Linked DNA regions of Oryzias latipes. Each later gene encodes a partner of the first gene's protein in a complex. Links are inferred from orthologs where the notes say so. Each region holds a gene or a part of one and is shown in the gene's direction. Other genes may lie near its edges.

Region 1 (3,810 bases):
TGTTTTCCTGCAAAACCTTAAGAAAAAAAATATTTACAGTGAAAAGGGTCCATTTTATAAGAGTTTATTTTATGCATGGGTGGATCGTTTTTAGCGTGGCTTTGAAGTGTAAAACATTTCTCAAGGTGGCGTCATTTCCAAATGATTATGAAATCATACAGTTTAATGATGGCTACAGTCAGTTCAGACGTTCCTTTAAAGACCCACTCTGATGAAAATCTGTGTTTTTAACGTTTTTCTGATGATGAGGACATGTCGTAGGAAAATTATGTTTAAAATTGCATTTCTGAGTATTTTTTTATTCAAATTGTTGGGAACCTGGCACCGTTCAAAAGAGCACATTTGGGACATTGAAAAAAATGCTGGGTGGGCCACGGTGCGAGCTCTTGGCAAAGTGGACAGTAAGGCGTGGCGGGGCGGGGCGGAGTTGTTCTGCAGAATTCCTAATGTACTACAGCCGCTCTGCAGAAACTGTCCCAGAAAATGACAGTTTTTTAAAATTTTGCCTAAGAACTGCATAATTAAAGACCAATGGTCAACAGTTTGACATTAGACGGGAGACAGTAGGGTCTTAAAGTGTATACACTTTAGGAATGGCACATTTTTACAAGAGAAACTTTCTGTACTTTTTTTCTGGCTTTCAAATCAACATTGTGGTTCCATTGTAAACTAGGGCTGGGTATCACCAATAATTTCCAGTCTATTTGATTTGATTTTGAATTTATACCTGTGTAAACTACACATGGTTTACACATTTAGACATAGTTGTATAGAAATATAATAATAGTTAAGGGTGTAACTGATCAGAAACTCACGGTTCGGGTCGTGCCACGCTTTTAGAGTCACGGTTCGGATCATTTTTTTGGATCGGTAAAATGGAAAATAAAGACAGGAAAAAAGCAACCAAAAAAATTCAAAGAGAATTTATCATACACAAAATTAAACCTATACAGTTTAAAATGGATGTGGACCCTCGTAAAGCTCCAAAAATATAGTATAATTTCCTTCTACACTAAACGTGTTTGGAAGGTTGAAAACATCCGTCATTTTGAGAATTCTGAAAGTTTAAGAACAGATTGAAATAAAAAAGCTGCCTGCTTTAATTAAAGTAAGACAAATCCACACAATAACAATTTCTAAAACAATGCAACAACAAAAAAATACTTTTAAAATCCTTTGATCTGCAGACAAATTCCTTCTACAGCAGCGTCTGATCTACTGCTAGGAACCACTCGTATGTCTGTGTTGTCATTACAGAAGGAGACGACATGAAATTTGACCCTTTCGGGACGTCCGCCCTCAGCTCCTTGGCTAGCTATGACTGGTCAGACCGGGAGGAAACTCTGCCAGGTGAGGTCAGGAAGCGGCAGGGCGTGGAGGGAGGTTCCCTTCCATCATTAATCCCATCCCAGAGGAAGCAGCTGAGCTTCGGTAGCACTGAAAACATCACGAGCTGCTCCACAGCAAGGGCCACCGCAGAGGATGGCGCATCTGAAGCAAACAAGTTTGAGGCCTTTGCCGACTTCAGCTCCAACCAAGGCAGAGCTGATGACGAGGACGACTTCGGAGACTTTGCGAGCACCGTTTCCGAAAACTCTCACTCCACTGCCGTGGAGGCCAGCTCTGAGGGGAAACAAGGCGAGCCCCCAGACGAGTTTGGCGCCTTCCAAGGGGACAAGCCCAAGTTTGAAAAGTCAGACTTCCTTAAAGCCAGCGCTCAGGCCAAAGTCAAGTCCAGCGAGGAGATGATCAAGAATGAACTGGCAACCTTTGACCTCTCAGTTCAAGGTAAGTCCTCTTGTGTCCTAACTTTACTGCATTTCTCCACACAGATCCGTCAACAATAAAATAAAATAAATTGTGATTATTGTTTTTCAAACATACCCAGTCTGAGTTAAAAAGCAAAGCAAGATGTTTGTTATTTTTTTCTTTTGTTGAAACATCAACATTTGAATCCAACCAAACTGGAGTAATTATTAAGAAGTTCTAAGAAAATATCCATGGTCTGGTGTTGATGCAGTGAGCTGGTACTGTGAAATGCTTAAGCAGACATGACTTCCTGTATTTTGTGACAGTGAGGCTTTGGGGTGAATCTAGATTACATCTTTTCTCCTAAAACCTGTCATGTTATCCAGGTATGAGCTCTCCAGAAACTAAAAGCCCTTGAACTCAGGAAGGAATGAAAGACGTGCCGCTCCATCACCACATTGCCATCAGATATGCAGTAAAGCTGTTAGGCATTAGATGGTAGCATTGCAAAGACATTCCAGCTTTCTAATGGCAATGACTGCTGAGACGGATTAATGGCCTCCAACAAAATCCACCTGCAGAAATGAACTGTATCCACTTTGGTGCTGCTCGCTCCTCTGTTCCGTCTAATAAATATTTCCTTATCTGTGACAAGAACGGATTCATTTGTTGCTGCTGGGTTTAATTACTGTGGCGAGCAGACTGTCTCTGGCTGCAGAGCTGTAATCTTATCACGGTTCGGCTTCATGCTGGTTTGAGTGGCGACACATGGCTCCAAAGGTGGCGGATTACCTGTTTCTGGATGATTCTTCCTCACATCAGTTCACGCTTAACATGTTTGTGTTCGTTCTCAAAATACTGATGAATTATTCATACATTTCAGTCGTATTTGAGCCTCTGATTTGAACCTTATTGCTTTTTATTGAACCAAAGCATTTACCTGTTCTGCACTGTCTGAGAGTAATGGCTGCAATAAAAATGGAAAAAAAAAAAAAGTGATGACTGCGAATGCACAGGTACATTTCTCAGAGTGTCCTCGCAGTGAGTGAATATATTGTCCGTGTCTCCTTGGTTTTTTCCCTTAGGCTCCCACAAACGCAGTCACAGTTTAGGCGAGAGGGAAATTGGCCGATCGCCGCCGTCTCCAGCTCCCGAGCAGCATTTCAGAGACAGATCCAACACGCTAAGCGAAAAACCAGCCCTGCCGGTCATCTGGGACAAGTACAAAAACCTGACCGGAGAGGTGGAGGTGAGGAAAACCGCCACAGTTCGCTGCTGGCGTCAGTGACCCGACATCTATGTGTCATAAAAGTTTGTCGTTTCATATTTTGTCACTTTGTTGCTGCAGGAGAGCGAGCGCTATGCTTATGAGTGGCAAAGGTGTCTGGAAAGTGCTCTGGAGGTTTGTGTTAGTCCAATTGATCTCTAAAACTGCAAAAAATAAATGTGGATTTATTGGTTGCAACAACAGAGCGAGTAGTTTGAATTTCACATCACTTTCTTTTAATAGAAAACACATTTTAAAAATATTTATTTTAGTCCAAACAGTAAAGAGATGCTCTAAAAGGCTTTGTAGGGGAAGAAAAATACTAAAATACATAAAATTTGTATCTGTAAAAATGTTTCAGGCATACCTTGAAACACTGATGGGCTGTTTTGTTGTAACATTTATCAAGATAATAGTGTAATACAGCATTTTTGACTCTACGATGGTTTTTGTGTCTGTTCATATTAAGGTTATCACCAAAGCCAACAACACCCTGAACAGCATCAGCAGCTCTGCTGTCTGCACAGAGGTCATCCAGTCTGCTCAGGGCATGGAGTATCTGCTGGGTGAGGAAGAGCTCACACAGCACACACAGAGCTCGCACTCTCACAAAAATCAAACCCATATGAATTAGGCATCAAGGAAAGAGAGAAAAATGTACAAACTGCATTTTGTTTCTGCTAAAGACCCACTCCGCTCATCTTTTGATCTAAAAATGTTCCCAGTGGTCTTTTGGTTATGGTTATGCCGTTTTTAGACAAAATCAAAAAACGTAATAATAATAGTAATAATTG
Region 2 (4,373 bases), on another chromosome or scaffold:
CGCGCTCAGGACTAAGGGGTTATTGTGAGTGGACGCGCTCAGGACTAAGGGGTTATTGTGAGTGGACGCGCTCAGGACTAAGGGGTTATTGTGTGTGGACGCCCTCAGGCCTAAGGGGTTATTGTGAGTGGACGCGCACAGGCCTAAAGGGTTATTGTGAGTGGATGCGCTCAGGACTAAGGGGTTATTGTGTGTGGACGCGCTCAGGCCTAAGGGGTTATTATGAGTGGACGCCCTCAGGCCTAAGGGGTTATTGTGAGTGGACGCCCTCAGGCCTAAGGGGTTATTGTGAGTGGACGCGCTCAGGCCTAAGGGGTTATTGTGAGTGGACGCGCTCAGGCCTAAGGGGTTATTGTGTCAGGACGCGCTCAGGCCTAAGGGGTTATTGTGAGTGGACGCGCTCAGGCCTAAGGGGTTATTGTGTCAGGACGCGCTCAGGCCTAAGGGGTTATTGTGTCAGGACGCCCTTAGGCCTAAGGGGTTATTGTGAGTGGACGCGCTCAGGCCGAAGGGGTTATTGTGAGTGGACGCGCTCAGGACTAAGGGGTTATTGTGTCAGGATGCGCTCAGGCCTAAGGGGTTATTGTGAGTGGACGCGCTCAGGCCTAAGGGGTTATTGTGTCAGGACGCGCTCAGGCCTAAGGGGTTATTGTGAGTGGACGCCCTCAGGCCTAAGTGGTTATTGTGAGTGGACGCGCTCAGGCCTAAGGGGTTATTGTGAGTGGACGCGCTCAGGCCTAAGGGGTTATTGTGAGTGGACGCCCTCAGGCCTAAGGGGTTATTGTGAGTGGACGCGCTCAGGCCTAAGGGGTTATTGTGTGTGGACGCGCTCAGGCCTAAGGGGTTATTGTGAGTGGACGCCCTCAGGACTAAGGGTTTATTGTGAGTGGACGCGCTCAGGCCTAAGGGGTTATTGTGAGTGGACGCCCTCAGGCCTAAGGGGTTATTGTGAGTGGACGCGCTCAGGCCTAAGGGGTTATTGTGTGTGGACGCCCTCAGGCCTTAGGGGTTATTGTGAGTGGAAGCGCTCAGGGCTAAGGGGTTATTGTGTGCGGACGCCCTCAGGCCTAAGGGGTTATTGTGAGTGGACGCGCTCAGGCCTAAGGGGTTATTGTGAGTGGACGCGCTCAGGACTAAGGGGTTATTGTGAGTGGACGCGCTCAGGCCTAAGGGGTTATTGTGTCAGGACGCGCTCAGGCCTAAGGGGTTATTGTGAGTGGATTAGTGATGAGTTTTAGTGTCTGTGGTTAAAAGTCGAGTCTGAAGTTCAGATGAAGTTCATCTTCATAAAGCTCTGCTCTTCCTCCAAATCCCATCAACCACCGCTTTGCGGGTTTTCATGGACCTGACCTGGGCGGGTCTGACCACAGACGTGTGTGTATGCAGGGCGCTCGTGCTCGCTGACCTCAGGGTTGTCTGACCCGCGGCCGCAGCTTAATGAAGGACCGCCCCTGTGAAGGGTCCACGGAACCACTGGGAGAACCCCGGGAACCCGGAAACTTTCTCTAACTAAGCCAGGTTGCGCTCCGCCACTGAAAGTCACCTGTTTCACCTGGTCAGTATGAGCACGTAGATTGCGCCGGCGCGGTGCATGCTGGGAGACACGGAATCAGGGCAGCAGCGGCGGACTGAAGTGAACCTCCAGCGGGCTCGACCCCGAGGACGGACCCGGAGGAGTCATGAAGCTGACCGGCCAGCGTGTCACGGTGAGTGCCGCGCGCGCTCTACGTCATCCGGGTGCCTGCCATGCACGAGCGGGCTACGGCTAGCAGGAGGAAGCCGCGCGCTGCGCAGCGGTCTCCGGTAACGGAGCAAACTGCGTCAACCTGCGTCGTTTTCCTTCTGGACGTTACCGGATCGATGCGTTTCTCCTTCACGCGGGGATCTACCCGGATGTGTCCCCCCAGTTCCACAGGTTAAACTCTGACTACACATGCTAATGTGGCTAAGCTAAGCTAGCTGCTGTGTGTCGGAGCGCAGAGGACTGGCTCGAACCTTGAACCCGAACCCGTCCTTCTGTCGGTGCCGATGATCTGCGTGGAGAGGCGCGTCAGGTAACAGCACACCTGTGTCCGTGTATTTTTGGTGACGTGTGTGGTGTCTGCTGGACGGTCGGCAGCTCGGTAACCTTAGACCTAGCAGCGTTTGTTAGCCACTGACGTCAACAGGTGAGAAGACGCGTCAGATGCGATCTGAAGGTGAGCTCGTGCTTCAAGCAGCTGTTAGTGGGCGGGAAAAGCACAGTTTAAAGCTAATAAAAGTGTTTACAAATAAAGCGAAACAGCTGCTGTTGTGCTAGCTCTGCAAGTCTCGCGATAGGTTAGCTGGTCTCAGACCGACAGGTGTGATGTTCTCAGGTGAGCTTCCTGCTCAGTACCGTCCTGACAGACTAACAGCCCAAATAAATCTTCAGCGAGTCACTTTAAACGAAAAGTAAAACCGGAAATGAGCAAGTAAACAAACAGGAAGTCGTTTCCATCAGCTGCTGCATGTCTTATTTTGTAGATATTTAAATAATAGACAGGATCCGGATCTAAAGTTGATTTTTCTGATTATCTGGTGTCAAATCAGACCAGGAAGCTGAAGAGGTTCTGCAGAGTTCTGGTTGAGCAGGTTCTGGTGAGGTTGTGCTTTTCTCCCACCATGGAGAACATTTACATTTATGTGACATAAAGTATTTCCGTAAACCCACAAACTACCCCCCCCCCCCCCCCCCCCATGTGGTTTTCCCCAGACGGTTCATAAGAAGTCCAACCTGGTTTGAGCTGACAGGTGTTCAGGCTGGAGCGCTGGCTCCTCCCACTGCACACAGACTAGTTTCCTCTCTTAGGTAGGATGGGGGTGTGCCCTAACCGGTTAGTTTGGTTCTAGCAGAACCCAACCTGGTGTCATGAAGGACAAACAAAATCAATCAGACCATCGGAGGATTACAGTCCAGGTGGTTCTGGTTTACTCGGCCCAAACCCAATTTAATGAATTATTAAATACGCCTGCACACCGCACTTCATCTAGTCTGGTCCTGGTCTTGGTCTGGTTCTAGTCTGGTCCTGGTCTGGTTCTAGTCTGGTCCTGGTCCTGGTCTTGGTCTGGTCATGGCCTGGCCTGACCAATCACAGCACAGCTTCTGTGATTGGCTCACATAACCAGGCGCTGGTGCTCATGCCCCGCCCTCTGTTTCAGGTGTAGCCAGGAGGACGTCCCGCGGCGTCATGGAGCCAGATGTGATCCGCATGTACTCGTCGTCCCCTCCCCCGATGGAGGACGGTGCAGAGGAGGACGAGGACGAGTTCGGAGACTTCGGGACCTTTTCTGGGGTCCCCGGCAGCATCAGCTTCTCTGAGCTCGACACCCCCACGACCTTCAACCAGACCCAGGCCCTGACCGCTACCTCACCCCCGGAGCTCCTGGCCAGCAGGGGGCTGGGCCCCGAGCTGTCCAGGGTGAATGGTGTGGTTCTGGGGGGCGAGCCCGCCAATAGGGCGGAGGTGACGAAGGTGATTTGCTCACTGGACTGCTCCGTGAAGACCGACTGCAACGGCAGGGACTCGGGGGCGATGACCAATGGGTTTGAGAGCCTCAGCGTTCAGGGATCCCCTCCCTCCAGAAATGCTGTCCCTTCTTCTGGGGGGGGCCTGCCCCTGGACGACACGGGGAGCCCCCCCGCCAGTAGTCCTGAAAACGACTTTGCAGATTTTGCGGCGTTTTCTGAAGGGCTCCCAATCCAGACAGAGGACAGCCCTGTTGGGGGGCATCTGCAGGCGGGGGCAGCCTGTCGGAACTGTCAAAATGATCTGGGGGGGGCACCAGGGGACACAATCAGGGACACGAACGGGACCGGATCAGAGGCAGAACTGGAGCAAAGCTGTCCTGCTGAGGCCCCTCCCTCGCCCTCTCAGGAGGTCCCCCTCTCCAGGGAGGCCGAGGCCCCGCCAGCTGTGAATGGGCTGGACGGGGCTGAAGGGGGGCAGGATCAACCGGAGGCCCGGGTGTCCCCGGATGAGACGGAGACGTCCTTGGGCCGGCAGCTGTCCACAAACGACCTGGAGGAGTACGGCGACATGAGCCCCACCTGCTCGGCCCCCTCCCCGCCCATCCAGAGCGGCACCCCCACCGACAGCAGCCCGCTTGGGGAGGGCGACGAGGACTTCGGGGACTTTGGCGAGCCCGCCTCCTTCTGCGCTCAGGGCTTTGCAGAGGTTGGGCCGCCGGACGCCGAGCAGGACGCAGAGCAGGACGCCGACGACTTCGGCGACTTCAACTCCCCCAAGTGTCGGGGCCCCGAGGACGCCAGCACAGGGGGGGGCTCCAGCCTGCCTGTCAGCGACAGCTTTGGGAACTTCAGCTCGGCGGAGGGCAGCGCCGGGTGGAGCGCC

The links.
Region 2: synrg (region 1) and aftiphilin share a complex: the UniProt entries of both Homo sapiens proteins name them as parts of the aftiphilin/p200/gamma-synergin complex. The link is inferred for Oryzias latipes from reciprocal best matches to the Homo sapiens genes SYNRG and AFTPH.

Annotation. Positions count from the first base shown.
Region 1 is NC_019871.2:10,180,770-10,184,579, reverse strand, and holds part of synrg (synergin gamma), read left to right. Parts: intron 1-1,257; coding exon 1,258-1,788; intron 1,789-2,834; coding exon 2,835-2,998; intron 2,999-3,097; coding exon 3,098-3,151; intron 3,152-3,485; coding exon 3,486-3,582; intron 3,583-3,810. UniProt on the Homo sapiens protein: Plays a role in endocytosis and/or membrane trafficking at the trans-Golgi network (TGN). May act by linking the adapter protein complex AP-1 to other proteins. Component of clathrin-coated vesicles.
Region 2 is NC_019859.2:574,198-578,570, forward strand, and holds the start of aftiphilin, read left to right. Parts: upstream 1-1,308; 5' UTR 1,309-1,591; coding exon 1,592-1,706; intron 1,707-1,723; exon of another isoform or gene 1,724-2,054; intron 2,055-3,180; coding exon 3,181-4,373. UniProt on the Homo sapiens protein: Component of clathrin-coated vesicles.